Lepisosteus oculatus: one gene and its partners. The main gene of each other region encodes a partner of the protein of the gene in region 4 in a complex. Links are inferred from orthologs where the notes say so. Each region holds a gene or a part of one and is shown on either strand. Other genes may lie near its edges. The genes, in order: iqcd, iqcg, drc1 and drc3.

Region 1 (7,946 bases), on a different chromosome or scaffold from region 4:
ACATTTGCATGGAGTTTGCATGTTCACACCGTGTTTGTGTGGGTTTCCACCTGGTGCTCCGGTTTCAAAGACATCCTGGCAGGTTAATCTGCTTCTGGGAAAACTGGCCCAGCTGTGAGCGTGTGCCTGTATCTGCCCTGTGAAGGACTGCCGTGTGCCCGGTGCCTGCTGGGACAGGCTCCAGCTCCCGCGGTTAAGGAGTGGATGGAAGTACGAGTCTCACCCCAGAGCAGAATCAGAAGATGACACACACACTGAGCACACTAAAATGCTCTTTGACTGGATATGTTTTAGACTGCACATCAACAATCCAAATTACTGAGATGAACACAGCAAAGCAAAGGACAGTCTGGTGAATGGTGAGCTCACTTGAACGTGGCAGTGTGTAGCTCTGTGTATCTGAGCTCACTTGAACGTGGCAGTGTGTAGCTCTGTGTATCTGAGCTCACTTGAACGTGGCAGTGTGTAGCTCTGTGTATCTGAGCTCACTTGAACATGGCAGTGTGTAGCTCTGTGTATCTGAGCTCACTTGAACGTGGCAGTGTGTAGCTCTGTGTATCTGAGCTCACTTGAACGTGGCAGTGTGTAGCTCTGTGTATCTGAGCTCACTTGAACGTGGCAGTGTGTTGCTCTGTGTATCTGAGCTCACTTGAACGTGGCAGTGTGTAGCTCTGTGTATCTGAGCTCACTTGAACGTGGCAGTGTGTAGCTCTGTGTATCTGAGCTCACTTGAACGTGGCAGTGTGTAGCTCTGTGTATCTGAGCTCACTTGAACGTGGCAGTGTGTAGCTCTGTGTATCTGAGCTCACTTGAACGTGGCAGTGTGTAGCTCTGTGTATCTGAGCTCACTTGAACGTGGCAGTGTGTAGCTCTGTGTATCTGAGCTCACTTGAACGTGGCAGTGTGTAGCTCTGTGTATCTGAGCTCACTTGAACGTGGCAGTGTGTAGCTCTGTGTATCTGAGCTCACTTGAACGTGGCAGTGTGTAGCTCTGTGTATCTGAGCTCACTTGAACGTGGCAGTGTGTAGCTCTGTGTATCTGAGCTCACTTGAACGTGGCAGTGTGTAGCTCTGTGTATCTGAGCTCACTTGAACGTGGCAGTGTGTTGCTCTGTGTATCCCACTTTACAAGAAACCAGAGCCACATTGGGCACATGATGTCACCCTGTTCGAGGGTGAAATCCTGTCCACGTCAATATGCATCCTTATAAAATAAATATACACATCATAAATATTGTCCAAACTACAAAAAGTGATCACATTTGTCCATTTAAAAAACAGCACAAGTGAACTAATACCATTTTTCTGTGCCAGGATCGTGACTCCAGTGGAAGGCCGTGGGGGGACTATAATCTGAAAGTTTACTAATGCAGCTGAAGTTCATGGACGCTTCAGTCACTCGGGAACCACTTCTGTCCAAAGTGACTTTACTGTAGCAGATGCCAAAAGTTGCAAGAACAACAGCTGCAGCAAAGTCAGTAAGAACATTGCAAAGCATAAAGCTGAAGATGGTTTAGTGATTTGCTCAGGGTAACACACAGTGATTTAGAAGTACATCCCAAAAATAACCCACTTTTCTTAACCACACCTTTTCCTAGAACACCTTGACTTTTTAATGAGCTGCAAGTAAAATATTCTTCTGTAAATTAGCACACTGACTGGTGGCTAGATTAGCAGTGACTTCTCTTTTGTAGACAAATGGCTTTTGTTAGCCTTCATCTGCAGTGACAATGTTCCATTAGCATTCTAGGGTGAATCAGCGTGAAAAACACTATCTGGCGCATGACACTGACCAACGTCAAGCAGCAAGCGGGACACCTGTGAGTCTTGCACAAAAAGCGTGGATGAAGACATCCAGCTTAAGCATCTTTCACATCTTGGGGCAGATCCATCTGTTCTGCTTTTAAATGTCAATTAAAATGTTTATACAGCCAAATACAGCCGACACTGTTGACCAATTTCACCACTGGTTAAACATGAAATGAGATTTTTGAATAGGAGACTTATTCTGCATATATTTTCTACAAACATGTTGTGCTAGTCGAAAATGCTTCTGTGCTTTAATCCAAGTGTAACCCATTCTAGTGAAATACTCTGAATTGTGCCTGGTAGATTCTGTGCTTTTCCTTTCTCTCTCCTGAAAGAGGTTAAACAGTAAACACAATTAAAAAAAAAACAAAGTCATTCTTCCTGGGTTGTATCCTGCTATGCAGATGATGGAGGTCTAGAGTCTCTCCAGATGCGTGATTAGCACAGACAGCAGCTGGCTTGCTAGCTATAGCTCTGGCGCCCTCTGTGGAGCAGTCTAGGGGTTCGCGCTGCTTTTTGGCTTTTCCAAACTGCCACACAAGAGCCAAGCAGACATCCTGACGATCTGCCCAGGACATCCTCCACTCCTGTGCTGCTGGAATGCGAGACGTCTGTGGTCGCTAATCACGCCTCGCTTTAAACCTCTTCCTCTTCCTAAACCTTGGGTGTTGCAACAGCACCGCGCTCCACCCACCCAATGGTCAACTGAAGCACACAGCCATTTGCAAACACATGCAAAAAAACATGTTGCATTTCACCAAATTCTCACTGGATGTTTTTGCTGCTGCTGCGATTCCTTGCATGGTCATCTGCTGAGGATTTCAATTTCAAGACCTCATCCGATCTCTAATTCATCAAGTTCCTCCACTAGTAATGGACTAGAAACCACATCCTTAAACATCTGCATTGGCTCAAGATTTCTTTTCACAACCAGTTTCAGTTGCATTTGCTGGAAATTAAAACAAGGTTTGGCTTCATCTTTTCCTTGTGTGTGGGTAGTGTTTAGGCCTCTGTTTCAATGAACTGCTTGCTATGGATACAGGGTTTGTGACCAGTCCCAGGAGGAGTGCATCTTGGTGGAAGCAGAACTTCTTACATGCACTGTATCACATTCCAGATCTTCGGAAATATCTCCCAAATTACATCCAAATCAGCATCATGAACAAGAGGCGCAGTTACTGGTCACTAAGTTGTTTTAACTCATTTAGATGAGACACAGATACTTGGTATGAAAAAGCCTTGTTTTCTTTCTCAATTCCTTTATTTCCATGTAGAAAATGAAATGGTGACATAAGAGCCTAGAACTTGTCCCATTGGCACAGCTCCTGATGCCTTCATCAGTTGAGATACAACAAATTTAGGAATATTAGAGAACAGACACAATCCAATTATAAAAAGGTCATCAGCCCCAGACTCGCATCTGGGCATCCCTGCAAGGTGCCAACAAATCCGTTTCAACGCTAAAGCACAGCGAAACGCACTGTTTTAACATCTAAAGGCTGTAAACTGCTGTGAAGTATAAATCGCTCTTAGAGGACCCAAAGCTTCACCGTTCTATCAATGAAACTTGTGTTGCTTTAGTGTCAGAATTTGTAAAAAGCTTTCAGAACTCCTCAGGGACGGGCATTAGAAAGCGGTATATAGTGAGAGATTAAATTGGAAGTTTTAAAAGCATTTGATTAAGGACTTAAAGCAAAGAGAGGAATAAAAGTTAAAGCATTAAAAAGACCAATGGGTACAAAGATCACTTTATGACAAAGCTCGGGGGGAAAGCCATTATGTGAAGGCCTTGAAATCTTCCAAACCCACCCTTTAATGATGGACAGAATGTACCTCGTTACAGTGGGTGTAGACTGTGAAACGAATTCAATTATAATCCGTTTTAAGTGAAACACGACAGGCAGCTATGGGACACAACAGACCTTTAGCTCTGGGCGTGCACTATCATTTCGTGCTAGGTCCTGTCTTTGCAAATTGAACGGTGAACACGAAATTTCCACACCGGGACTCGGTCCAAGAGCACCATCACTCACCCAACAGGAGGGAAGCAAAACTTACTTTCGCTCGTCACCTCCGCGTTGTCTGGCTCCTCGCCGCCCAGCAGTCCGCAGTTGGCTTCGTCCCAGGTCAGGATGAGCGGTACGTCGTCATCTGCGTTGCTGGCCATCCTCCGAAAAGGCCTGTCCGGGGCAGGGCGACCCTCGCTCGCTGTCTGTCCCACAATCAAGCCACCCTACCAAGTGGGTTTCTCGTTTGGCTTATCCAAAACTTCTCCAGCTCCTTTTGCATAATCAATGCCAATCGTCTCGGAGTGGTAAACTGCAACGCAAAACCAAGAGCCAGCAGTTCACCTGCTACATCCACCAAACTGAAGAGACTGAAGAGTCTAGCTTCAGTTTGTTGACAGGTTTAGTTTTAAAAACCCAGTGCGTTTTATTGTGCCAACGCCGCTACAGGACACTAAAATAAAAGCAAATATCGGATCGTATTTCAAGCGCTATAAATCTCTTTTTACTAAAAGAAATCTAGTCCAGATTGTATTTCATGTACCGACCATCGGAGTCATCAATGTTTCTAACGTGTACATGCATTTAAACGACTTAACATGATTCAGATAAAAATTCAGTAACAAAACTATCCGATTTTGTGACGTTATAGCGCTAAACAGAGCTCCTCCGACAGCTTCTTTAGGTTTAATTTCTTGAGTTAAGATATCAGAGAGAAAAACGGTCTCAACTTCTGTCTGTTGTTGATAATAACAACACGACGATTTATTCTGAACTAGTGAAGAGCTGTCATGTTTTGAGTTAAGCTAGCTTCCACTAACCCCAACGTGCATATCTTCCAAAACGGAAAAAAATAAAAGCAGGCTTTTAGGTAACCTTCGCGGAACCAAAAAAACATACCAATCCTTTAAAAAACATCGCGCAAAAACATTCTTGTTACATTTTGTAACCAGACCCTGCACAGCATTAAAGAGCCTGAAGACAACCAGCGCACAGGCCCGCCTCTGCTGCGATGCTATTGGCTGGTGTCTGTTCTCTGAGTCCGGTTCTGCCCTGTGAGTGGAGAACCAACCTGTCAATCAGAAGCGCCTCGACTCGTACGTGGGGATGAGAAAATGGCACGTGACGCGCACATCTCTGACTCGTTTTTTTTACAATTGTCTTTACGTCGCGTATAAGAAAATAAGGTCTTTAGCTCTCAGTTAAGCCGTTCTGGAAGTCACATGCATTAAGCATAGCTTGCGTCTAAAGTTTAAATGCCGAAGCAACGTCGTCTGGTATAATTCATTATAAAGCAGTTAGAAATGTATATAAAAACTGCGCTTTAACACTAGGGTCAATGTTTTTTTTGGAAAGGCCGTGAGAAACTAAAACCATTCAAACTACATTCCCAATAACGTACAGGGATTGCTTCCGGTCACGATGCTGCAGTTCAAGCGCTGATTGGCTGTCAAAGCGCCGCCTGCATTGCGGTTTCCTAGCAACGCAGATAAACTGCAAGCAGAAACAAGTTCCCATTGAGGTAGGTGAGATATAGCACCAGTCTATTTTTTAATTATGCATACATTTATTAAGAAACATGTGTTTGTGTTATGTGTTTGGTCCGTTATTCGTAGCTGTATTCTATGTTGCACTGGACTTTTTAAAATAAAACTTCATGGTCTAAAAAAGGAAAATAATATATTACAGTTCATTGTGTTGATTGTGTATTTAGCTATTAACAGTAAAACTGCAAAGTTAATTAGAGGCGTCAGTGTAATATTATTAAAAATCATGTAATCTCCTAAACACGTTTTCTCTGCTGAACTGTAAATAACTTTCAGTTAAGTTCTCAGGAAGTTCTCAGGAAGAAAAACGTGAAGAAAAACTGCTCCTCCTGATTCCTTCACGTGTCGTTCTGTCTCCAGGTGACCCCAGGACCTTGTGCTGTAGCTGAGCGGTGTCTGCTGAGGAGCAGAGGAGCCTGGAGACCGACGGCTCATGGCCATGGAAGTGGCTGTGCTGCCGGTGGGGGGTGGCTGCCGACAGGCCGCCAGTCCCAGCCCTCAGCCCCGCGCGAGCGGCGCCAGGGAGTCTCTCAAGATCCTGGACCCGGCCCGCAAGAAGCTGAGCTCCCTGGAGACGCAGCGGGTCGCGGGCGTTCTGGACGAGTGCATCGCGAAGGTGGAGCTGGTGGCCCTGCTGCCCACGGTCCTGTCCGGCCTGGAGCGGCTGTCGGTGGGGCTGGGGGCCGAACTCGCGGGGGCCCTGCGGGAGCACGAGCGGCTGGGGCAGATGCTGGCCGCCCTGCGGGAGAGGAGCCAGCGTCAGGGGCTGGGGGGCGAGAACGAAGACCCCCGGCTCCCGGGCCTGGAGCAGGCTCTCCGCAGCTCCCTCCGCAGCGTCCTGAGGCACCTGCGGGCACACCCCAGTGCCACCCACAATCTGAGAGGGCAGGCGGGCGCGGGCGGGGGGGCTCCGGGACTGGCGTGGGGTTTGGCATGGGGGCTGACGGAGCTGCGCAGCCTGCTCTTTGAGAAGCTCCTGACCGGCCCCGCGGAGGAGCGAGAGAGGAGCCGGTACATCCAGGAGGTGTCTCTCCGGCACCAGAACAACGTGGGGCTCATCTCCACCCTTGAGAGGGAGGTGGCTGCGGCCGCCCGGGACAGGGATGCTGAGGTAGGCAAGGGGCCCGTTATGCGTTAGGAGATTGACAGTCCAGGTGCTGTCCCTACGTCCTTTTAAGAGCATAACCAGAATGCAGGGCTGCATTGACTTATTTCAAGTCCAAAGTGTTCCTCATGGCGGTGTTAACTCCCATGGAGTTGGAAAGACAGAAATGATGTGCCGTGATGGCAGCCTCTGTATCTAGCCTGCACACATATATTGTACATATGTTCATATATACAGTGTTCTGTCCAGACACTCAGTGTGCATAAGTGTTCATAGATAGATAGATACTTTATTGATACTTTATTCATACCGCCAACCCAAGCCTGGAAGGGCTGGTATTTTCAGTTTCCTGTGGTCAGTGTGGTGTGGAAATTCTGTGCTGTGTTTGTTATGGTGCTGTGAAGATTTCCCCAGAGAACGTTTCCAGTCGCGACACCAGCCACCCTGTCTCCTTGCTTAGATTTCCAAGAAGAATGAGGTCATCCGCAAGCTGAAGGGCTCCCTCCACCAGATGGAGAAGATCTCGGAGGACTTCCTGAAGCGAACCCGGCAGGAAGCGGACAAGCAGACGCAGTCCGACCACAAGGCCTCGGAGAGCCGCTGCGGGCGCATGCAGCAGGAGATGGGGCAGCTGCGCGGGCGGCTCTGCGGCCTGATAGCCGAGAACCGCGAGAGCGAGCTGGCGCTGAGGAAGGTGCGTTTCTTTTCAGTTCCAGGGACCTGAGCCCATCCTCCAGTTTGAACCGAATTACAGTACTAATACAAAAATAATCTCAATTGCCTGCGGCTTCATTTCATGCCAGATTTCAGTCAGTATATTTAGTTATTTTGTTATTTCTGCTTAGAATGTTTGCCAAGTAGAGATTTTTTGAGGCTTGGAAGATCTTTTGAGAGCAACACGGTGGTGCAGTAGCAGCGAAGGAGCCCTGGGTTCAATCCTGGCCCGGCTGTGCTGTCTGCCTGTGTGCTCTCTTCATGTTTGCATAGGTTTCCTCTTGAAACAGATGTCCTTTTAATCACAATACCATTATGGTTGTATATGAGCAAATGTTATTCTTTCCTCAGATGGAGGGTCTGTAGTGGTGGCCATAATGCTAAACAGTGAATGTTGCATTTTCAGAAAAAATAGTTCTATGATGTAAAGTTTTAGAAACTGGTGCCCTGCAACTATTTCATTTTCTCAAGTATAACCTGCTTCTCTACAGAGGAAGTACAAAGTGGAGACAGAGATTGAGAACTGGATCCAGAAATATGATGTGGACATGGGTGAAAAGCAGGTAGAGAAAAGTTTTTTCCCTTCATCCATAGTCATGCACATGATTATGGCGAGAACTGCTCATTCCCAGATATCAATAGAATAGAAAATATATCTGAATTAGAATTCAGTCACTCACACAAATATCTCACACAAACTCCCAGCCCCGAGCCACACAGCAGCCTTCCGAACAAGGGTGAATTATTCTAGAATAAGGCTGGCTT
Region 2 (7,990 bases), on a different chromosome or scaffold from region 4:
GTTGCTGCTCAGCGTGTCCATTGAGCTTCTGGCCCTGGTACACCTGCAGCTCCGCGCTGCTCTTCACATACTTCCCCTCCAGCCCAGTTTTGGCCTTCATCTCCTGCAGCTGGTCCTTCATGTGGGCGATCATCTCCTCCCGCTTCTGGGGGTGAGGGGTGAGGAGAGAGAGACATGTCAGACACAGAGCAGATAAGTTATAAAGCATAGCTATTACTGTATGTAATGATGGCATGCCCATGTTATTACACTATAATATGGTACATCCTTGCAAGGGCATGTTTGAGTTATTATACTGCAATAGTGTGTGTCACTCATTGGAATGTGTTTTTATACCTGCAGCTCAAGCTCTTTCTCTTTGCGGATATCCAAAAGCTGTCTCTGCAGAGCTCTGGTTCTGCGTCTCCCCTCCTCTTCCCTGCCAAAAAGCGCATGCAGACACGCCCACACAAAGTCATTGCCAATGTCCGATGTCCACTTTGCCTGGTACTGAGACCAAAACTTTCTGAAGACTAGAACTGAGAGGCTGACCTGACTATGATGTCGTGGAGGTGTGCCTTCCTCTCTTTTTCCGCTTGGACAGCCAAAAGCAAGCTCTGGAATGTGCCCTTTTCCTGCAGCTCAGCCAGGACGTCGGAGATCACCTGTGCTGCAAACTGCCTGAGACAGGAACAGAAAGACAGAGAGAGGAGAAAGAGGGACACAGAGCAAAAGGCAGAGAGAGGAGTGAGATGGAGAAGGACAGACAATTAGAGTAAGGAAAGAAAAGGGAAAGAGAAGCAAAGAGATTTGATTGTCCAATGTTTAAATTTAACTTTAATTTCATCTCACAGGTGGTTTAATTGTAAAAACACCATTCTGAATCATAGATTAAGTCGTGTATCCAATACAATTCGGGCTAGGATCATGATCTTCTTCGATGCCTGGATTCCCAGCATGCTAGATGCCAGTAGCATTCGGTGGTTTGAGCTGGCCGAGCAGGAGACCCTACAGCACCATCAATGAGAGTCATAATGTTCGTTCAATCAGTGCCAATGCTCCTGTAAGGCACTAGAGAGCTTGCAAACAGCACATCTAGATGGGATAGAGAGCATATCAAATGGTGTGTGCCACATTGATCAACAACTGTCAGTAACAGATTGGGAAGGGTCAAAAATAAATTGCCATTTCAACATTGTATCATATGTATTTTTTATTTGTATCTTTCAGACTTTTGACCTATAGGAATGCTCCACAGAGGAGTAGGTCAGTGGACTTAGGTTATATGCAATTCCGTAACGCATGCAAGATTTTTGCAGAGCTAGAGAGCCAGAAATTGAGAGGAAGTAGAGAGATAGTAAGACAGCAGGAGAGAGAGAGAGCCCATTCACTGCAAAACTGACCTGTCTCTTTGCACCTTGACCAGGTGCTCGGGGGTCAGGGGGTTGTGCTCAAGCATGCGGCTCAGCTCCACCTGGGTCCTCTGCAGCGCCCCCGTGACCTGTGCCAGCTTTGCCCTCTCCTGCAACTGCAATTACATCATCTCCGTGAAATACATCTCTGCCCCTGCTGCTGCAACACCTGCCCAAAGTGAGCAGACACAATCCGATAGACAAACACACTGAGACACCTAGACACAAAGACACTTGAACACACACACATAATCTGACAGATTAAACCATGAAAAGACGGGTCTCACTCTGGTCTGTAGACAATGTAGCATCCACTTCCTCCTCCTCCATCATTTCAACCCATGATTCCCTCTGTCCCACACACCTCTTGACCTGCACCTCCTGTCCTCAACCCTGGCTGCCCTCCAAATTCAGATAGATCTAAATATGTCTATATTGAAAATGACTGATTCTCAACTTTTATTCAAAAACTGAACTTTCAGTTTGCATAAAGGGGCATAAAACACTCCTAAACCCTTCACGTCCACTGCAAAATTCAACAAGGCCTTTTAAAATCTTCCCCTCTGGGGATTTCCTGAATAAAATATAATTGTATTTATTTAGCTATGGCTGGTATAAGTATAAACTAGAATTTAGAATAGCATGTCTTCTTCGCCACAGACGTGAACAACATACAGCTAGAGAGAGAAACTGAGACACCTGACCCAGCATAATCTGAGAGACTCACACAACGGACAGTGTTACGGGTTCTGAGACATATATTAGTACACGAAGACAACATGTCAGAAAGGAAAACACATCGAGAGACACATTGACAGACATGACACATTGAGACAGATACAAACTTGTGGGTGAGAGAGTACCGAGTCAGCGTCAGGCCGCCCCTCGTACGTGGCAGGCATGATGTGACCCAGCACGGCCAGTTGATCTGCGCCGTCTTCTAGAACCGTGCACAGCCGGATTTGCTCCACATACGACTGGAGAGACATCGTGTGCACTGCAAATGCAAATGAGAACTTAGTACAAATGATCTGTGTGCAGATTGTACAATTATGCAGGTTGCTTCAATAATGTCACTTACGCAGATACTGTAAACTCAGATTGAATGATATTGTACGTTAATACTGTATAGTCGGTGTGACTGACAAAGTCAATATCAATGTAACTGACAGTACAGTTTGTCTCAGGGCGTCCCTTCTAAAGCCCACTCGGCACTAAAAACCGGAATCTAATCAAAGTTTTAATATTAACAGTGTGCACGCTGGAAAGGTCAGTAAGCATTGCAGGTCCAATAGATACTTCCCATTCCCCATTAGCGACTTCAAATAGTCTTTTAACACTTTCAAATAGGTTACCAATTTCTACCAATCTCAAAATCAAAATTCTGCTGCAAGAAAAATGAAATGAATCGATCCAATATGTTAAAATAGATGTCTGTAACTGCTGATCAATAACTTTCCTAAAACTTCAAAGACAAAATAATAATACTGTCGCAAAGATTAACCACCGTTTCAGTCAGGTTACTTTTCCAACTCGTGAAAATTGCTCGATGTTGACACCGATCACCATGGCAACCGCACAACCGTGGTGAGCAAGCTTAACAGTTGCATGTACTTTTTTTTGTTCATGTTAAATTAGTAAATACAATATATATATTGAAGTATATACTTGAAGCTTAATGTTTAGTTTATTTTAGTGGACAAGAAACTTTATTTAGTTTCTGAGGAACAAATGCAAGTAAGCGAAGTAAAAAGGCTAGTCTATAAAATTGCCTGTTACAACAAATTGTAAACGCAAAGCGAATGATTAGTTTTGGACATATGGAACTTAAATATTTTCTGAGATTTTTTAAAACTAAAAAATGTTTTTAAGAAACTAGTGTACTTCTTTTAAAAGCACATTTCTAGTCAGGCGCTGTTTCAGTCACGACTCGTGCGACGATGGTGTTGATTTCCCAGCATGCCCTAAGGACCCCCCTTTTTCCTCCATCTTGGATATCAGTACAGGTGAGAGAGATAAACAGCGTTTAGAATCAACCGGTTTTTAAATAGTTTTTAAAAGTATAGTAACTATAATATTACTTATCTTAAACAGCCGTGAGTCTTATACGGCTTGTTTTACCAGTGCTGTAGCCTTTGAGCTGAAGATGGCCGAGATACTCAGTGGATTTAGCTTGGAATCCCTCGGGTGAAATGTAAAATGCCCCGGCTTCGCAGGAGCTGAGCCTCGGCCGTTCAAACTCAATTTTATTCATTAGATTCCCATTTAAAAATACAAGAATGTCTCCGAGCCCTGTAACTGTCAAAACCCTGGTGTGATTTTTAAAATTGGAAACCATTTATCTTTCTTATAAAATGATGGTTTTATTCATTTCTGCCTTACTGACTGAAGTTTTGCTGTATGGTCAGTGAGTGTTAATGGTGGGAGCTATTATGCAGTGTGTAGTCATATACACGGTGTTTGTACCCCGAAATCATATACGTCCCCGGTTGCTGCCGTTTTGGGTGTATGTATGAATTCTCGTTTCTCGACTGCCGAGTCCGACACCTTATTTGCTTCCGATTGTGTCTAACCGGAACTGTGGCGGTCAGGCCCTTTTAATGTAATATCGTGGCTGAACTTGTTGCAGTTTTTCCCAGCAGTTACATGTCCCTCACAGCTCAGATAGGTAGAATCGTGAAAGTGCACAGTGTTGCCCGGACCATGAACCTTCAGCAATAGTGTCTTTTAAAATGAATTACATGTGTTTCGTGTAGATAGTAGTTCCTCGTGCAAATGTGTACGTGTTCAAAGAAAACGGATGTCCTTTGCTATTTCCCACAGGAGCTGTCACTATTGATACAGTGTGCGTTACCGTGATGTAGAGCTAAAATCCTCAGCCGTGGTCCATCTCTCTTAGCTGGGTTGTGTTGTTTTTTTCCCCCAAAGTAACTTTCGTACCTAGAAGTGGTCATCTGTGTATAGCTCCTTGTGTTTTAGACTAACATGATTTTATTGTGTGCTGATTATGTGCTCCCTGTCCATCTCCAGGCTTGGCTGTGACTGAATACTCAAGCTTCACAATGCCAGGAAGGTGAGTCCTTTGTTTCTCACTAATCAGGTATTCTTGGAGCTGCCTTTGTATTGGTGAGCATTGCTGAATAATAAATTTTAAAAATCGACCTTCCTGCAGTGGGAGTGTAACAGGAACAGAATCTGTTCTTTTTGGAAGCAGAAGGGTTTGTGTTTGATCGGTACTGTGCTGTGGCAAACTGGTGGGTTATCTCTGGTTTAAACTAACACTTCTCCAATGTGCTTTATTCCACAGGATATACCCTTTAAAACAGCAGGCTATTTTACACACAAGCAGAGCTCAGTTCTGAATTGAGTGATTGCCTGTATTACCCGGTGTGATGCATTTCAGTGATTTTTAACTTCCATATGCTCTTCTCACTTCTCCACCTGATCTACAGTGAGGTGGGGTTGCAGAAAGTTGCAGCTGTCTCTCAGTTGATGGATGAAATAGATCCCCTGCTATATGCAAATTAGGATGAAAAGTGCAGTACAGATTCAAGTATTTGAAGAAAGTAGATGTGAAGTTTAATATCCAAGTGGGAGCCTTTGGCTGCTAATTACTCCTTCGGTAAGTGATTCTGGTGTCCCGAGCTTGGCCACTGCAATGCAGTGCAGTGATTTCAGGTTCAGTCTTCAGTTCCTAGATTGCTTATCCTTCAGCAGTGCTGTGCGATAAGCATCGCTTTCCCACTTGTATAGGAGCCTTCAGTTAAAAACCTGACATGGATCAGAGTGCTGTCTTTTTTACATGCAGTCAGTAATGATCTCTGCCAGTTGGCTCTTCACTTAAGATACCTAGTTTGTATCAAAACCGTGATCCTATCTAATAAAATTACAAACATTTGCAGTGTCTGCAAGGGGCAATGAAGAGTGTGGATCGTGCTGCAGGGTGGACAGTCTCTTGTTGGGGCTGTGATTGTCTTCTGACAAGGGCTCTTGGTCTCTTTCCCCCCCAGACTGTGGTGCAAGGCGATCTTCACAGGGTACAAGCGAGGCCTCCGGAACCAGCGCGAGCACACGGCGCTGCTGAAGATCGAGGGTGTGTACACGCGCGAGGAGACCGAGTTCTACCTGGGCAAGCGCTGCGCCTACGTCTACAAGGCCAAGAAGTGAGTCCAATGCTGCCGGCGCACCAGTGTTAAACTGGGTGTGCCTGTGAAGGTTCTTCTTGGTATGCCACTTAAGTGTTGCAGAGAGAAGCTGACAAGTTCTCTTAAGCCGGTTCCCCAACCTGGGTCCACATTTACTAGTGGGTAGTGGGAAGTCCTCATGTGTGTATATATGTTGTATATAGAAGACCTCGCCCAGCTGCTTTAGTGCTCTATCTCATTTTCTTTAAGCAGGCAGATTTCCAGTTTCAGTTATTGAATCCAGTTAGTGGACGGTAAGGTTTAGGGATTTGGTAACAGGAAACGTGCTTCTTTGTTTAGAGATCTGTTCTGAAAAACCGAGCACATTTATGGTGCTGCTGTGCTGTATAGTTTTATGGCATTGTCCATATTTGTTCTTTTGCTGCTGGACTTGAAGTGGATGTGCTGCCAAGTTCTGCTGGCCCTCTAAGTGCAGCAGCAAACACAGATTTTGTGTCTGGTGTCTGTTTCAGGAGGATTGAGCTGGCATGGTTCAAACAAGGCACAGCTGGAACAGTGTTAAGATTTTTTTTTTATCTGTATGATGTGTTTAATAATTGGAGAAGGTTAAACTTATTTACACATGTGGCACACTGCTAGCAGCTCGGTAATACACATCTGCATGTAGAACTGTCTTGTCTCTGTACCTGCAGGCACTTCATCATTTCGCCTGCCACTTGTTATTCCAAAAAACGTATTAAATATTAAAAGAATAGGTGTTCTTGACATATAAGGGATGTATAATTATGCACTTAACATTTAATGAGGTACTTACCATTGTTTCATAGACAGGGCCAATACTAAATTTTTCATTGAATGTGTTTGTGTGTCAGGGCAGTTTCCCTTGCAAACTGCGTTTTTCCTCTTGTGCTTAAAATATGGTTCTTGTTCTTGTTTATAGCCCTGTGTCATACAGAATTGTGATGTTTTGAATATGACTGTATTACAGGCAGCACTGAAGGAAGAGCAGCTTTCAAATAAAGAATAAAATCATTTCTGTCAAAGGCCGTTAGTTAGGGGATGTGTGGCCGCATTTAGTGGTGGGTTGGCTTTTGTTCCCTTATCAGATTATCCTTTGCTTAGAAACAGATGCCATTTTTATCAAGATTGACATTAGCCTTCTTGCTGTCCCTCACAGCTCTTCTCTCTTTCCTGTCTCTGTCTTCAGATCCCATCATACACCCTCCGTCGCTCATTCAAATTAAAGAGTTGCTGTTTATTTAGTTTTGTGTTTGCGGGGGTCACGTTTGCTCGATTATGTCTGTGCTCGTTTTCATTCCGTGTTAGAAGATATCTGCAGTTTTGGAGCTGCCTGAATAATTGCTGTTTGACTGAGGCCTCTCTCGCTCTCCCTCTGTCTCAAGGAACACAGTGACTCCTGGCGGCAAGCCCAGCAAGACGCGCGTGATCTGGGGCAAGGTGATGCGCGCTCACGGGAACAGCGGCATGATCCGCGCCAAGTTCAGCAGCAACCTGCCCGCCAAGGCCATTGGGCACAGGATCAGAGTGGTGAGTGTCCAGCCTTTGCTCTGCTCTTCCTCGCGTCTGTCTCTCGCCTCTTCATCATTACTACCACTGGGTGAGCTACTGGAGGGAGGGTGAACGACACCCTCTTCATCCCTCCTTCCAAAGCTGTGGTCACTTATAAACTGGTCAGCCTCCTTCATCGCTCCTTAGCTTTGTGTTGTCATTCTGTTGCCCATCTGAAATGACATCAGACTCAGATTTTCCCCTTTTCTGCCTGTCCTTTTCCATGCACCCACCTCTTCCCGGTAATACCACTATAACACAGGATGATTGAGGAAGAAGTGTAGATTTTTGCTTTAACTTTTTCCAGCCTTTCTGGCGAACTCCACTGTTGTTATCTTAATCTTTTAAATAATCAATTAGGGATGTCTTTGGAGATGAGTATGTTATTAAAATGGATTGCATGGGCTGTTGGTTAAGCAGCTGTAATTTACAGTAATCGGACACTTTGTTTGCTAAAGCATTTGACCAACATGCAGCTCACCTGTCGCAGGCAGCCGTCTTCTTCCTGCTTGACAGCTATACTTCCCCCATGTAGCTCCAAGATCTGCGGCGTCACACTGCACTGTCACTGTTAATCCCTTTCCTTCTCTTGCAGATGCTGTATCCATCACGGGTGTAATGTGCTGTGGTTGTGTACATACAATAAAAGGACTGGTCCAAATCAAGCGGTGTCTGCAGTGTTTCTTTCTGAAGGAGCTGTCTGCTGCTGCGCAGATCTGATGTGCTGAGAAGCTGCAGTAGAGAGCACTTCCTCGAGGGGTGTGTATGTGTGCCCGTAAACTTGGGCTGTCTTAGACAAGCAGGGGTTTCACTATCAATTGTGGGGCTGATTTTCCATGGCTTCCTTTTACACCTGCAGTTTCATTTTACTGGGTTTCTCAAGAT
Region 3 (7,136 bases), on a different chromosome or scaffold from region 4:
GCACTTGTGAAAGACGCATAGGGGTTTTCATGACTCATTCTTGAAATCCTTGAAGCATTTACCATGCTGTCCATATTTCATGAAATACTTAAAAGATGTGTGAAGGGATAAAGCTAACAAGGTTGTCCAGTTCAAAATAGAAAGTAGTAAATAAAACTTCTGCCTCTCCCAAAAATCCACAATGCCTTTTAAGCATCATTTGTTACTGTCAGGTAGAAATGTCAATAGAAATGTATCTACGGTACCTCAATCTGGTCCAGTTCTTCTCTGTAGGATTTCATCAGATTCTTTATCTGTTCTTCCATTCTCTCAATCATGAGGTCGATGTCTTCTGCTTGTTTCTTCAAGTCTTTAACGTAGCGATCATCACTTGCTTTCAGTTCCTGTTGGCAGAGCATGGCTTGTTTTGAAATAGGTTAAGTCTCAAATAAACATATTTGTACAGTACCTCTGTGTCATAACTGGGAAACAGCTAGAAATTGAGTGTAAAGAAACCACAATCTCTCCTCTAAGAACAAAATCTAAATAAATGAAAGAAAACCTTTTGTTGATTTCCATACACATAAAATAGTAAACAGTACTACAAGAAAGTTTAAGGTTCACACTCAAAGATGGAATTTTTAGGAAGAATAGTCATAATTATGTACTCATTATTTTTGCTGGGTCTCACGTGGTTTGTAACTTTAGATAAAAACATTTTTAATATTATGTCCTTATGTCCCCCATGACGCTGCGTGGGATAAAGTGGTTAGAAAAAGGATGGATCCCCATCATCCAGGATTTCCTTACCTGCTGTAGGTCAGTAATGAGCTTGTTCTTCTCCTCAATAAGAAGAGCGCATTGCTGTTGCTGCATGTTGAGTGCTTCCCTCAAGTCCTGAGGGATCTCCTTCATTCTGGCTGATGTCCACTTCTTTGTGATTTCCTCAAACTTCTCCAAACTGGTCTTGGCTTCACTTTCCAGCTTCTCTGTTCTTTCATAGGGCAGAATGGGTTAGATACAGTATGTGACATAGTAGTAAATAACTTCAGAATAATCTAGTATACTGTTGAGAGGGAATAGTTTGTGTATACTTCAGATAGCAATTCTGAAGGTCTTTCACATCATAATGGAGAATCTTCTGACATTTTGTCAATTACATTTACAAAAATAAATGATTACAGGTAATAAATGAGTGACTAGGAATAATTCATGGACCATTATAAAGATATTTTAAAGCTTACTGAACAGTCTTTCTACAACACAATCTAATCAAACAAAAGTCATCAAATTGTTTGAGAATCCTGTATTGTCAAACTCATGAATCCGCTAAAGTTTATAGTATTTCTACTGTAATAATAGATGTAGCCTAACATTTTCCAGATATTGTATTTGAAGATTTGTCTCTCAGAATATGAAGCTATTTGAGTAAAGAGTCATGTAAAGAAAGATTAAAAAAAGCCATTTGTCTGAGACTTTTAAAGGTATTGTAATTTCCTGCTGAATGGCTGTGTTTGTGAAGGAGGGACTCAGCTATGTTCCTCATGTACCTCTGCCTCCTTGCCTCCTCCTCTTCAGTCCTCCTCTGAGACTCTTTCCAGTCTCCTGCTACCTGAATATTGGTGACCAGCTCTGTCCCATCAGCCTGCAGTTTAATCATTCTCTGTGAGAAATAAAATACAATGGCTCAGTCATAGACACCTGTGCTCTACATGGCCTAAAGCTGTAGTAGAAAATCTATTTGTATAAAGAAACCATACGACACGAAAACAAAGTGTGAGTATCAGAATCAGCTAAATGAGATAAGGCACTGTCGATAATACAAATAATAACAGCTTTCAACACAATTCTCTACTATATTTCATTACAACATGTATTTACACATCTTGTGAAGCCTAAAATTTGGCATGGATCAAATTGAGGAAATCGGGTCTTTCAGACTAGATAATGATCTATTATCTATTTAAAAAAACTAGGGATGACAACCTTAGTGCTGCTGATAAACATATTTTTGATCAAGTCTTGAGGAATAAAAATCATATTACAGTTGGAATAAATTCTGTAAGAGACTTTTAATATGTACGATACTATTTGACATCCATAAGTACCACCAACCTTACAGCTCTGCTCCACCTGCTTCTGGCTTTTTCTCATTTCTTCCTTATCTTTCTTTTCATGGCTGCTGTCTCCTAGAGCTTCTCTGAGTATTTTGACATGAATGTAAAACAGTTCAGCATGCAAGAAAAACAGTATGAGTTCATTACGAGGGTTACAAAACCCAGAGCATTCAAAGCCATTTAGAGCACCCAGAGTTCAGAGCCAATCGCTTAAACACAGAATGCAAGGCGCGACTACACCCTGGACAGACAGATAATTACCCTAACCAGCATGTCACCCGAGAACTCTCACATTGCCTTGGGGAGATCATGCAGGCTCCGCACAGAAGGTGCCCCTGTCTCAAATCAAGTGCTCTTAGCCAGCAGCGTCACGCTTCTGTGCCGCCATAAACAACATACAAAACTTTCTAAGCCTTAGTTTAGTCGTCTATTATCTGCGAGACATAACAAAAGTTAATTTAAGCATTTGTCTAACTCGGGAACTGAATCGAGACATGTTTCGCTAAATCGTCACAACTACACGCGGTGCTTAGGTATGAATGCGTTTTACTATTTCATTATTGTCTCCATGATTCAGTTTTAACAAACAAACATAGCGAGTTCAAGATATAGGCATTAACACATGAGTTGTTTCTGGCTGTTGGATACCGTTTCTTCGCCTCAATCCTAGCTGCTATCCGCAGGCGGCGAGCGGCTATTCGCTCCTCCGGGTTTTCGGACTGCACCGATGGTCCACTTTCCTCTCGCTCTTCCCCTCCATTCTCGGCCTGATTCATTTTTCAAAAAGTGCAAACTAACGTGTAAGTAAATGTCCACTGATGTCTTTTAATCAATGCTACTATCTGCCAGGCGTCATCCTACAGTATGTATCACCGACACATCAAGGAAGCTTTGTTGTTTTCTTTGTTGCTAGGATACTGCTGCTGTTACGTCATCTTCAGTAGAGTTTAATGCAATCTCTGTGGGGCTGCTTTAGCAAATACTTTTTTCCTGTTTTATTTCTTTATTTTTATGTATTTATATACAGCGTACTGACAATCTAATTCATATATATATATACATCGTTGTAAAAACGTCTTAAGTTTATTATCAGAACTTTCGTGCAGCAGCTGCTATGACAGGTAAAGTCATTATGCTGATTAACATTTGAGTTTGATCAACGGGTCTATTGTACTGTAAACGTCAGGGGCTGTTTGTGTAGAAACGACACACTGCACATCCCTGCCACATACTTTTAACCATGCTGACTTGTGAGATTCTTTCCAACTTTCCAGTTGTAGAGCCTGGACAAGCATGTCTGTTCACCTGTCAGTGGTCTGCATGCAGAGTTAACAAGTAAATTGAATTTGTCGAGGCCACTGATGTCCCATCCTAATCACAAAATTATTTAGCTGGGCTCAGGTTTGACAGGTAGGGCATCTATGGTTTAACTGTCATTCTCTCATTTCCCAAGAAAGCTGTTGTTACATGAGCACCTGTCAGTGCCTGCACTGTCAGGCTGAAAGTGAATCACGTCTGGATGAGCCTGCAGGAATATTATGACAAATTTTGTATCGCCTAGCTATTACGGAATAAGTCATAACAGCAAGAGCAGCAAGCAATGTCCCAGAGTTTTGACATTAATAACAGAGTGACTTTAATCTGATGCGGAGATCAGTAGCTTCTAGCCCCAGACCTTAAGATATGTATGATGATCTTAGCAAGGTGTGGTTACTCACGGTCTCCTAGACTGGGGCTTATCATTGACGGACTGGCTTTGAACTGGTTGTGAATACACTACAATAGTGCATCCAAAACAATGATGACACATCGTGCTGTTATCTTGAGAAAGTAAGACTATGGGTTAATTTTTGTATTTTTCTTTCATGATTTTCACCAGAGTGCGGCACGGTGGCACAGTGGTTAGCATTGCTGGCTCACAGCACGGGAGACTGGTTCTGGACCTGGGGTGCTATCTGCTATTTCTCTGTGTTTGCATTTCTGTTTCTTAAGAACTTTATTTTCTTTTCACAAATACAGAATAACACAAAAGGAAAAACTGTACAGTATTATGCAGTATATACCTAAAACAGTATACTGTATATGCACACATCTAGAGAAAATTACAAAGCCAACAGAAATATAATTGCTGAGGTGCATTATCTCACGTCACTTTGAATCAATTCCATACACATTTGCTGATGTTTTTTCCATGAAAAATGCTATTTTTCCTTACATGATTATCAGTATCACAGGGTTATGAGACATGATCCTACGATCCACAGATTTTCTGCTTCCTCCTTCCCTACACTCCATAGATCTCTGAGATAATAGTTGTCTTTAATAATGACCAGGCTACCTGCTCCCTTAACTGGAACCTCAATGCCTTTGAACACCCCCATGTTCCTCACCCTTCAAGAGGACATCCTTTCCACTGTTCACTATAGCCCAAATCCTGTCAAACATGTCAGAGGGTAGCGTTTGACATAATAGTGCATATTATGAAGGCAGGGGTCAGGGAAAAGTGAAGCGAGGGGGCCTGTAACCAGTCCTCAAACTGAGCCCAAAAAGTCTTAGCAAAATGGCAGGACCACAGGGGATGGGTCACAGTCTCATCCTCACTGCAGCCCATTCTAATACATCGAGGGCTGGGAGTGAGACACCTGTGGTACAAGAAGGCTCATGCCCGTAAGCACTTGTGAAGAAACTCCAGACTAAGTCTCTGTGAACGTTGCACAGAATCCTAGAGGTTGTGTGTTTCCTCATCTTTCTTGTTTGGGCTTCTGTTAAAATGCTCACAGGGGTCAGCAGATTGTTATGAGGTGCGACAAGATCTTCAAGTTTTTTCTGCATTGAACATGGCCAGTTGGATGGATTTTTTAATCTTTTAACTCTCCCATTAAGTGCAGGGCATGTGTCAGAAAATGGGGCATCCAGCTTGGGTCCGATACCCCCCACTTCAATACCTACCCAAAGCCTAGCAAAAAACATCAGGTATGTGGTTGAGGTCCTGTTGCGTGGGTTTCCTTCTGGTGCTCTGATTTCCTCCCAAAGAGAAAAATATACTGGGAGGTTAATTGGTTTCCAGGAAAATTCACAGACTCTTCATGATAGAGTCTGTGAACACTGACTCTATCATGAAGAAGGCTCAGCAGCGCCTTTATTTCTTGAGGTGCCTCAAGCGATGGGGGATGCCAATACATGTGTTGGTGAACTTCTACCGCTGCACTATCGAGAGCATCCTCACCAACGGGATCACCGTGTGGTATGGCAACACCTCTTCGCGAGAAAAAAAGGCACTGCAGAGAACTGTCAATATGGCCCAGAAGATCATCGGCTGCGGTCTCACCGAGATTAAACAGCTCTATGAGGACCGCTGCCGTGGTAGAATTCTGGCCATCACAGAGGACAGTCACCACCCCGGGCATGAGCTCTTCACCCCACTGCCCTCAGGCAAGAGATATAAGAGCATATGGTCACTTACCACTAGATTCTTCAATAGCTTCTATCCACAAGCAGTGAGACTGGCGAACACATTTAGCCATCCCCCTCGGACCACACCTACACCATCACCATCTACCTCATTGTAATTTATTTATTGTACGTCTCCAGTCATTGTTTACACGTCTGTATTGTTTACATTCAAACTGTCTGCATGTTTACTTGCACATTGTCTATTGTTTGTTTGTACATTGTCTTGATGCACTGTTTGCACTTTGTTTTGTTTTTTACACTTGTTTTACAAACGAGAGACTTTCTGTAAGTAAGAATTCCATTGTACCAGTACCGGTTACATATGGCAATAAAGTTCAAGTTCAAGTTCAAATTAGCCCTGGTGTGAGTGTGTTTGTGTCTGTGTGTACACTGCTGGACTGGCTTCCCATCCAGGGTGTATTGCACCTTGCGCCTGTTGCTTGCTTGCCAGGATAGGCTCCAGCTCCTTCACGTGTATTGGAGAAAGAGGTTAAGAAAGGGATAGCTTTTCACCAAATGTTAAAACAATACCCTAAACATGTAGACTTCATTACTCCTCAAGCATGCAGAGTGATACGTTTTTTTGATGTGTTTGTAGAGAATATATGTACGTTTCACATACATCATCATCAAGCCACTGCTAAATGAAGACCACACTCAACACGGGTATCTATTTACCTACAGGGTCCAGGGAGGCAGCCTTGATAAATAGGATACAGGTCTGTACAGAAAGAATGTTAGTAGCAGTAGCTACTGTGAAATGCATATCATCAGTGTCCAGCAGATGGCGATCAATACAACAGAGTAAAGTCACACATAAAAAGAAGCAAGACTTCTAATTTTGACAAACATTGCTGCAGATGTCCACAATATATATGTATTTAAACTAGGAATACATTTTTAACATCCTTCAATGTGCCGGAAAATTGTATTTTTTCTAATATTTTAATTTTTTCTCCTTTCCTTATAATGACTTTGAGCTGCCAACATTCGCCTCATAATCATCTCAGATTATGCTCTTTAAAGACTACACAAAATTTGTAAACATAAGAACATGAAAAAGGCTACAAACGTTCACCCATCTAGAATGTTGTGTAGTTGGGCTTTAATTGGTCCAAGGATCTCATCCAGCCATTTCTTGAAAAACACTCTTTGGTAACAGCTTCAATCACGTGACATATTCCTACAACTGCTCTGTTAAACACGTGCCCCCTTTTCTCAGTTTTTAATGCAATAAGTGTCCAAAGACATATGCTTTCATAACTCAGTCTCAACTGTCTCAGTTTTAACAAGAACTCTTACCTCATGACATATAGAAGTTTCCCACCCTTTCAATTATGTATTTTATTGAGTAATTACATAAGAAACCTGAAGCACTGACAAATATAGAACTGGTAATGTTCAAACAAAATGCAATGTTACACAATACAGAATTTTTTTATTATTATTTATCTTTATTAAGCTTTAAATGTTATGTCCTTAAAATAGTCGCAGTAATTACAAATATTAAGACCTGCTACAGACTCCAGATACACTTACAACTCCAGTTATAAAGGTGTTCACCAGAATTTGGAGAACGACAAATTC
Region 4 (7,733 bases):
AATAAAGTACCTGGCAAAGTTCTTTCACAGTGAAAGACTTGTCACAAAACAAACTGCATCTCACTTTTGTACGATCACATTTCTTTTTCCCTCTCAAGACAATATTTAAAGCTAAATATTAAAATTTGTACACAAAATAAATGTGAAACAGCTCAGTCCCACTAAACTTTCTTTCTAAATTTAGAATCACCTACCTATTGCGTCCTGCCCTCCTCAAGTACACTATAATTGCCAGTGATGTGTTTTTGTGTCTCCGAATGCAGCTGCAAACCCTGCGATCACCCAGGGGGAGAATGAGGAAGTTTAGAAAGGCTGCCCCAACCCGCCCACTTCAAGCTCACTGCCTTTTAATTGTTTCAGGCACTAAACAGGTGTCTGTCGGGCGTTTGAGTGTGACTTCATTGCCGAGCCTTACGTTGTCCAGCTGGGCCAGGCAGTTATTTCCCAGGGAAAGGACCTGCAGCTGCTGAAGGGAGTCCATATTCTCGATGACGGAGATCCTGTTGTTGTACAGGCTTAGATCCTCCAGCTTCACCAAAGAGTCCAAACCCTCAATCACCTCAATATTGTTGAAAGAGAGGTCTGAGAGAAAAAGCGGTAGAGCTTGTTGGTAAAAGTCACACTGTGAATATTTATTTTAGTAATAACTTTATTTACTTTACAGAGTATATTTCATTGAATGTTATGATGAGGGAAAAGAGGTCCTGTAAAATATGTTCACTTAAACACAAATGAAATAAGTCAGACATTATTTTTGTGGTGTATAACTGTAATGCTACCTCACATTTTGATAGGAGATATTAACGATGGAGAACTTGCATCTCAGTCATAGAGGCTTCTTGACATTCAACTATTCTGACCTTGTCATAAGCTACTGCAAATGAACACAGCAGATAAAATGGAGTTAATTGTATTGCACCTCACCACGGGTCTGGTCTGTAAGTGTCTAATCCTTAAATTGGGATTCCCTGCATCCTGGTACTCTGCTACCTACCAAGCCACACCAGGTTGGTCAGGCAGTCCAGCCCTTCGATCTTCTCAATGATGTTGTTGTCCAGCTGCAGCTTAGTCAACGCGGTGAACTGCCACAGGTGGTCAATCTTCAGGATGTCTGTGAAAAGGCACAAAGAGCAACAGTTTTCCTGAGAAAACAGTCTTCTCAGCTGGTGCTGACATGCAACAGTAAAATCAAAACATAGCCACCAAAAAAAAGGATCAGCAGAATTGCTTTTTTAATGCCCCTCAGACTCCCCAACAGAATGAACATGTAACGCCACTTCGTTGTACTTGTTGTGTGTAATTAACCAGAGTAGAAAGAAGCTCTATGATGGCCTGGAGGTTGCCCTAATAGGGCCTTTGCTAAATAAATCTGCCCAAGGACTCAACAGCTGCATCACATCTAACCAATAATCCCCACGACATCCCCAGCGCCCCCTGGGACTCACTCCTGTAGTCCAGGCGCAGCTGGCACACCTCTCCATACTGGATGCCCTCCTCCTTGGCGATGCTCCCGGCCTGGTCCTGGGGTCCCTGCTCCTCCACGGCCTTCTGAAGCATCTGCTCATCCACCACGCTGGGCTCCACGGTGTCGTACAGCCGGCTCATGCTTTCGTTGGCCCTGTTACTGCTTCTGCCTGCTCCCAGGCAAAAAACACACACACACACAAGCAACTCCTGGAGCGGTTGCATTAAATGATACCACTTTTTAAAGACTGGAAGACAATGAGCTCCACCACCTAATGATTGCTTCACCCATGATAAACAGGCTTCACCTATGAGCATTCTGCCCCACCCCCTTCCCAGAAAAATAAGATCTGTGGCTCTTTAACCAAGAGGATTTGGAACAGAAAGTAAAAGAGACGAGAAGTGTTCGTTTTGGAGTACTGGGAGGATATATGCTGAAAGGTGATAGCTGTTGGACACAGAGGCCTGATGCCACCAAATGGGAGCAGTTTGTGCTTTGCAGTGTGTAGTCTGCCTCTGAGGCCTGACCGCACTGGTGAAATATTAATGCTGTTCAGGTATCAAGATGCTGTGTCTTTGAACTGTGAAGGCTGAGGGACTTTCAGTATCTCAAACAGCTGTCACACAGCGTGGTCAAGGTCTGGTTAACAATCTCACTACTAATTCATGAAGCAGGCAATCCGACTGTACCCAAAATGTCAGTTTGTGCAGCGCTGCACGCCTTCGCTGTAGCTAAATTTGTAGCTAGAGGTCTCTCTGATGCAGGAGAAGGAGACAGATTAGTAGGGGACACAAAGAGATGCAGTTTGAAAATAGGATCCCAAAATACGCCCGGTGTTTAAATGCTAATGCAAACGTTCACGTCTCGTTTAACGGAAGGGAGGCATCTTTGAATTATCATGTTTTACAGAGAAAGGCATCTTAAATTCAAGGTTCCTGTTGTAAAGAGCTACTTTTTCTAGACGGCATTGCAGTGTTTACTCATTCATTACCTACTGAAACGGGAAAAACAACAATATTCGCAATTCACTTCGCAAATAAAATTACAAGCAAGAGAAAACGAGCACAGACATGACGGATTCGACATTTTTAACATGAAGTTATGCATAAATAATAATATAAAATGTATGAATAATACCGATACACATAATATTCTCACGATCAAATTAGTTTATTTCAAAGACTTTAGCAATTAGTGCAGTTTAGTTTTAAAAAAAAAGAATAAGACACCAACATACCAGTTGCAAAGCTAGTAAATCGTAATTTTGAGAAATTAAACTCTTCTCTGAAGACCCGCCTATTGCCAGACGCTTTTCACGTTACTTAGCAACCAAACACTCAACGCATCTAAATTAATTATAAAAACGTATGTAACCTAGGCTTTACAACCTCCGTTTTCCACAATAACTTGTTGATAATCCTTGTAAATAAAATGTTTTTATTTCCACATTTTATTTTTGTAATTTAGGCAAGATTGACAAACGCCTACGCCTATAAAAGATAAAAGCGCCATCAACCCGCCCCCTGCCCCGCCGAGAAGGACGTAGACCTTTACGCACCAATCCGATTGGAGGGTTACATCGCTCTCAGCCAATCAGAACGATTGCTTCGCGCGAGGGCTGGGGTGAACAACCAATCAGTACAGCTGGTCCATCGCGCAGATCTTAACCAATAGCAAATCGCCTTAGGCCAGCCGGCCCCTGGGAGGGCCTGCGGTATGCCCACCAGCGATCGCCCCCTAGAGGTGGCGTCTGCGTAGGCTTTAACTTGGAACGACGTGGAGGTTGGCCAATTAGATCGAAGCTTTAGCCCCGCCGCCCAATCAGCTGCTCAGGGGGGCGGAGACAGCGGGAGCTCCTCTGTTCAGTGCCTGTCAGTGAGGATTGTTTGTTGTCATCAAGATGGAGTTTTTATTGGGAAATCCGTACAGCACTCCGGTGGGGCAATGTATAGGTAATTGTGATTTATGTTTGTGTTTTCAGAGCTTTAACACTCATACGCATCATATTGCGTAGGTATTTTCGTGTTTTGGAGGAGTGTAAAGAGCTGTTTTGTGTGTTGTATGTCACGCAACTAATTGAATTACCAGCTCTATCCTAGCTCCTGTCTAAATGTGGTTGGCTTTTTATGGTTATTTTCCAGAGTGAAATAAGATTTGTTTTTGTTAATAATGTGTTAAATATCGTCTTCTGTATGTTTGAAGTGTGTTAGAGCTCGGGTATCGCCTGCCTCGTTTTTATCGCGATGCTCTTGAAAATGTTTGCTGTGTGGAGAGAAATATTCTCATTACAGTTTGAAACTCGCCATTCACAACAGCGACAGTTAGTCACTTTGTTCGACGGTGTCTGCTTTATTCTTTTTGTTAAGGGCGATGAACTGAGGGGTCCATTAAATACGTCACTTTCCAGAGATACCGTAAACGTAACTTTACCCAGACAGGTTACATATTTACGGTAGAGTGTCGTAAAATGAGCCCCGAGATACGTGCTATTTTGTATGCTTAAGAAACTTACAAACACACTCTTTGCGCTATAGAAAATAGATTGAGCTGGCCTGGAATTGCGTGATGTACAATCTTGCTGTGATGTAATGTACCAGGATCTCTGGCGACAGGACTTATTACCCTCGATTCGCAATCCTTGTGTTTTCACGCTTTTGAAGTCTTGCTTCCGGAGAAGGCATGAGTGCTGTGGGGGTATATCAGTGTATTCGTCGGGGAAATCAGAATAAAAGCGTTTCACGGTGTGTCGATTAATTAATCAGTGAGGAAATTCAATACAAGAGTCGCGTATTTCCACTGTAGAGATAGGGGGCGGCCTTAGAACCGCCTTTAGCGGATGGTGGTGAGTTGTAGTCTCATCGTGCCCTTCAGTTAAAACCATTTTTGTATGGTGAAGCCATGTACTGTACATAGCATTGGCAAAATATCGGGGCGTTAGTGCAACAGTATGTTAGTGTTCATGCCTGTGCGTAAGAAAGAGATCCTTTCTCTCAGGTGCCCTGAGCTTTCTTCCTATGGGCTCGACAGCTGATTCACAATGCAGAGAAAATAATGTCAAAAGTTGTAGAGGCTGTTTTACAACTGCCTACTTCAAGTTCAGCAAAAGAAGAAAATACAGTTGGATCTCTGCGATCGCAGTCCGAGAGCGTGTGCCCTGAGACCTCAGCAGTAAACCCATCAGAACACAAGACAGGAGACAAACAAGCAGAGACCCTTCGGCCCGGCTAGCCTGGTCGGCAATGAGGAGTTCACTGATCCAGGGATGTCATCCAGCTGTTTCCTGAATGCTATCAACTGCAGCTAATGTTGCTGGGTAACATGTTCAGTAATCCCACAGCCCTTTGCATGAAGTACTGTTTCCAGTTCTTAGTTTTAAATCCACTTCTCTGTAGTTTCCTGTGACAATTATGACTGTTTTTTTTGTGGCTTCCCAGTTGCTGACCATCTCTCATTATTTCATATTCTGCAAAGGTGATCCTCTCCTGGAAGCGAGTTTCTGTTCATTTTCACTTGGTAGCTCCTAACCAGCAGTTGAGCAGTGGGGATCTGCCGATGAGCTAGTGTGTATTGTACAATGGTGGTCAATCTGTCATTCTGACAGTTCTCTGCACAGATTTTTTTGTTGTCCAGAGAACTGACAAACAGTTTTTTTCTTAACACACCAAAAAGAATGATTAAATCTGACAATGCTGGTTATCACAACTTGTGTTCCTGTGGAGTGTAACTGCGGGCACACTGTGCGGTGCCGTAATCACTGTGCGATTGTGCGATTGCTATAAGAGTGTGAGACCGCAGGCTCGCTGCTTGAATGAGTTTGAGTGGGTCTCATGTGTCAGGGCCAGGGACTGCTCTTTTCACGGGCAAAAGGGCAGTGTGCTTCTTTGCCGTCACAGTCTGTGAGTCCTTTATGATGGGGCCAGTTTAATCTGAGCAGTGAGTTCTGCGGTTATTTTTGTGCTCCGCTGCATTTGCTTGGTGTGCTGATTGTTATGCAGTGGAGAGTGTTTCTCCATGATGCAGGGCTTCTTTGCTCTTGAAATCTTTTTTGAGATATGCCCTGATAAGAACTGGAGCTCCTCAGCAGCTTTTATTAGCTTGGGTGCAATAGCGGTGGTGCTATAAGGGTTGGACTCAGCCCAGAAGATAACACTGGTGTGCACAGAATAAAAGTAAGGCCTGAACACTGTGGAGTTTTAAAGCCTTATCCACGATGGGACTGAGAAGACTGCAATATATCAGACAGCTCTTCCTTGTCAGTTTTACTCTTCCAGTTTGCAGTCTCATTTTGTAGTTATAACTGGATGACTGAGTTCGTGAAAGAGTGACCTTTACTGTGTGAGACCCTGCCTAAAACAGGGTTTGTAGAGACTGGTTTTCTAGCTTTCACAAGTGTGGCTCAGGAGCGAAGAAGCCTGTGTTTACACTGATGTGACAACAGGACATTGCGAGGCTGGTGTTTCTGGAGGTCAGAAATCTTTCTGTGTTAGTTGTGTGACGTCCAGACATGTTCATGCTGTGTCCAAGTGTGGTAGTGAAGTACAGTACCCTAAGCCTCTGAGGCTGTTGTAAACTAGAGCTGTCACAGAGATTTAAGTCTAAATTTAATATAATAATGTGCATCCTTTCCAGATCAGATTGACCGATAGATTAATCTGGAAGCATTTGTTTAGATGTAGTACTTCTGGCAACACTGGTAATTATCGTTTGTATTTAATAGCTTACAGGCAAATGCCAACCACATACTTTATGAGAGCCTCTCCCTGCCAATCCTGCCAGTCCCCATCAGCATGTGGATTTGTTGTGTACTGCTTTCCAGATGGGAGGAAGACAGTTTGGCAAAGCATAGCAGCTGCTCCAGAACCCAGACAGATGTTTGTAGTTTTGCTCATCTCAAGTGTTATGTTTCTGAATGCATTAGACCCAAATCTTGTGTCATTTTTGCATCCTCTTTGCAGAGTGTCAACAGAAAAGAAGGAATTAACGCACACGCCCTACCAGAGAGCCAGAATATTTCATTGATCCACTTTATGCACAACAGGATTAATGATACTGACGCAGACACGGTTATAAATTTATATGCAAATAAAAAAATCGATTTTGAGTTGTGTGCAAAAGCCGTGTGTGTTTTGTCTTTAACTGCTGTCTCAGCCTCTGGCCAGTGATGATTAGCAACCAGATGAGATATCTGGTTCGAATGGCGTCCTCTGGTCTGCAGGCTTCCTCGTGTTTTTATAACTGTCCGATCCAGGAGAGGTCAAAGACCTCCCCTCTAGAACAGCAGCCTTATGAGTAGAGCACTTGATTGTGCTGATCCGGGGAATGTCCACAGGGCTCTCCGTTTTCCTCTTTCGAAGTCACCTCTCTCGACGTCTGCAGAGGTTTGGCTGGGCAGGCTGCAGCATGTTTTCTGTGAGCAGCTGACGGCAATAACTGCAAAATCAGTCTTAAACAAAAGCAGGCATGCCACTTTTCCCTCTTTGGCAGGGACCAGGCGACCACCTGACCCAATGCATTTTAATGATGTAGCTTTTCTGTGCTTCATGCATTGGTCTCCCTGTTGCGGGGTGTTCGCCTTTACTCAATTAAAAGTGCCCTGCCTGTTCTTTGCACCATAATTTAATCTGGAGCTCCGAGTCACTATGGAGACGGAACCAAGCAATATCCCAGAAGCAGAAGGCAATTTAATGACCTGATGGAAGTGCAGTGTTTTTACTTCAGCATCTGCAGCTTTCTTCTGTGATGTTGTGCAAGCAGTGCAGTCCTACAAGGATGGGCTTTTGAGTTCAAGCAATTCCACTCTTGACATACTGTCTTGTAGAAGTGCAGTAGCCTGTTTTCTGTGCAGTGGAGATCTGGGCGTCGTATTCGTATCATTTTAACCTCCACACTGATCCCCATTTGGCAAAGAAGTGCAGCAGAGATGTGAAATGTCACATACATCTATGATGGAACATATTTAAGGAATCCTGATATTTAAGGAATCTTTGTAGAATTAGGGTTATTTTTAACCTTTTGAAGTGTGTTCTAAAGTTACCATGCCAGGAAGTTGTTGATCTCCTTGTGATTTTAACACAAGCACATACAGTATAAACACCTAGATTATAGGTGCTACACACTACCAACACTCTGTATCTGAAGAATAAATATGATAATATAGTCAAAACCTCACTGGACCAGCAAATTCCCAAAGTGGCTTGACCAGTTTGTCTTAAAGCAAAATATGAGCAAAAACAAAGTTGTTTTTAATGCTGTTTGCTGTGGCACTATT

What was found.
Region 1: drc3 (region 4) and iqcd share a complex: the UniProt entries of both Homo sapiens proteins name them as parts of the nexin-dynein regulatory complex. The link is inferred for Lepisosteus oculatus from reciprocal best matches to the Homo sapiens genes DRC3 and DRC10.
Region 2: drc3 (region 4) and iqcg share a complex: the UniProt entries of both Homo sapiens proteins name them as parts of the nexin-dynein regulatory complex. The link is inferred for Lepisosteus oculatus from reciprocal best matches to the Homo sapiens genes DRC3 and DRC9.
Region 3: drc3 (region 4) and drc1 share a complex: the UniProt entries of both Homo sapiens proteins name them as parts of the nexin-dynein regulatory complex. The link is inferred for Lepisosteus oculatus from reciprocal best matches to the Homo sapiens genes DRC3 and DRC1.

What each region holds. Positions count from the first base shown.
Region 1 is NC_090717.1:14,355,288-14,363,233, forward strand, and holds the start of iqcd (dynein regulatory complex protein 10), read left to right. Parts: upstream 1-4,945; 5' UTR 4,946-5,337; intron 5,338-5,722; 5' UTR 5,723-5,795; coding exon 5,796-6,473; intron 6,474-6,927; coding exon 6,928-7,161; intron 7,162-7,672; coding exon 7,673-7,744; intron 7,745-7,946. Other genes in the region: tpcn1 (two pore channel protein 1), read right to left, coding at 3,868-3,976. UniProt on the Homo sapiens protein: Component of the nexin-dynein regulatory complex (N-DRC), a key regulator of ciliary/flagellar motility which maintains the alignment and integrity of the distal axoneme and regulates microtubule sliding in motile axonemes.
Region 2 is NC_090708.1:16,856,475-16,864,464, reverse strand, and holds the start of iqcg (dynein regulatory complex protein 9), read right to left. Parts: upstream 3,007-7,990; 5' UTR 2,979-3,006; coding exon of another isoform or gene 2,959-2,978; 5' UTR 2,899-2,958; intron 2,866-2,898; exon of another isoform or gene 2,473-2,865; intron 2,389-2,472; 5' UTR 2,381-2,388; coding exon 2,237-2,380; intron 1,508-2,236; coding exon 1,383-1,507; intron 661-1,382; coding exon 532-660; intron 419-531; coding exon 337-418; intron 146-336; coding exon 1-145. Other genes in the region: rpl35a (large ribosomal subunit protein eL33), read left to right, coding at 2,959-2,978, 3,288-3,397, 4,422-4,464, 5,402-5,554, 6,940-7,084, 7,701-7,724. UniProt on the Homo sapiens protein: Component of the nexin-dynein regulatory complex (N-DRC), a key regulator of ciliary/flagellar motility which maintains the alignment and integrity of the distal axoneme and regulates microtubule sliding in motile axonemes.
Region 3 is NC_090697.1:51,221,136-51,228,271, forward strand, and holds the start of drc1 (dynein regulatory complex protein 1), read right to left. Parts: upstream 3,010-7,136; 5' UTR 2,873-3,009; coding exon 2,745-2,872; intron 2,180-2,744; coding exon 2,095-2,179; intron 1,643-2,094; coding exon 1,530-1,642; intron 974-1,529; coding exon 790-973; intron 384-789; coding exon 246-383; intron 1-245. UniProt on the Homo sapiens protein: Component of the nexin-dynein regulatory complex (N-DRC) a key regulator of ciliary/flagellar motility which maintains the alignment and integrity of the distal axoneme and regulates microtubule sliding in motile axonemes.
Region 4 is NC_090714.1:17,590,754-17,598,486, reverse strand, and holds the start of drc3 (dynein regulatory complex subunit 3), read right to left. Parts: upstream 3,013-7,733; 5' UTR 2,703-3,012; intron 1,638-2,702; 5' UTR 1,606-1,637; coding exon 1,446-1,605; intron 1,112-1,445; coding exon 995-1,111; intron 583-994; coding exon 416-582; intron 1-415. Other genes in the region: TOM1-like protein 2, read left to right, coding at 3,366-3,417. UniProt on the Homo sapiens protein: Component of the nexin-dynein regulatory complex (N-DRC) a key regulator of ciliary/flagellar motility which maintains the alignment and integrity of the distal axoneme and regulates microtubule sliding in motile axonemes.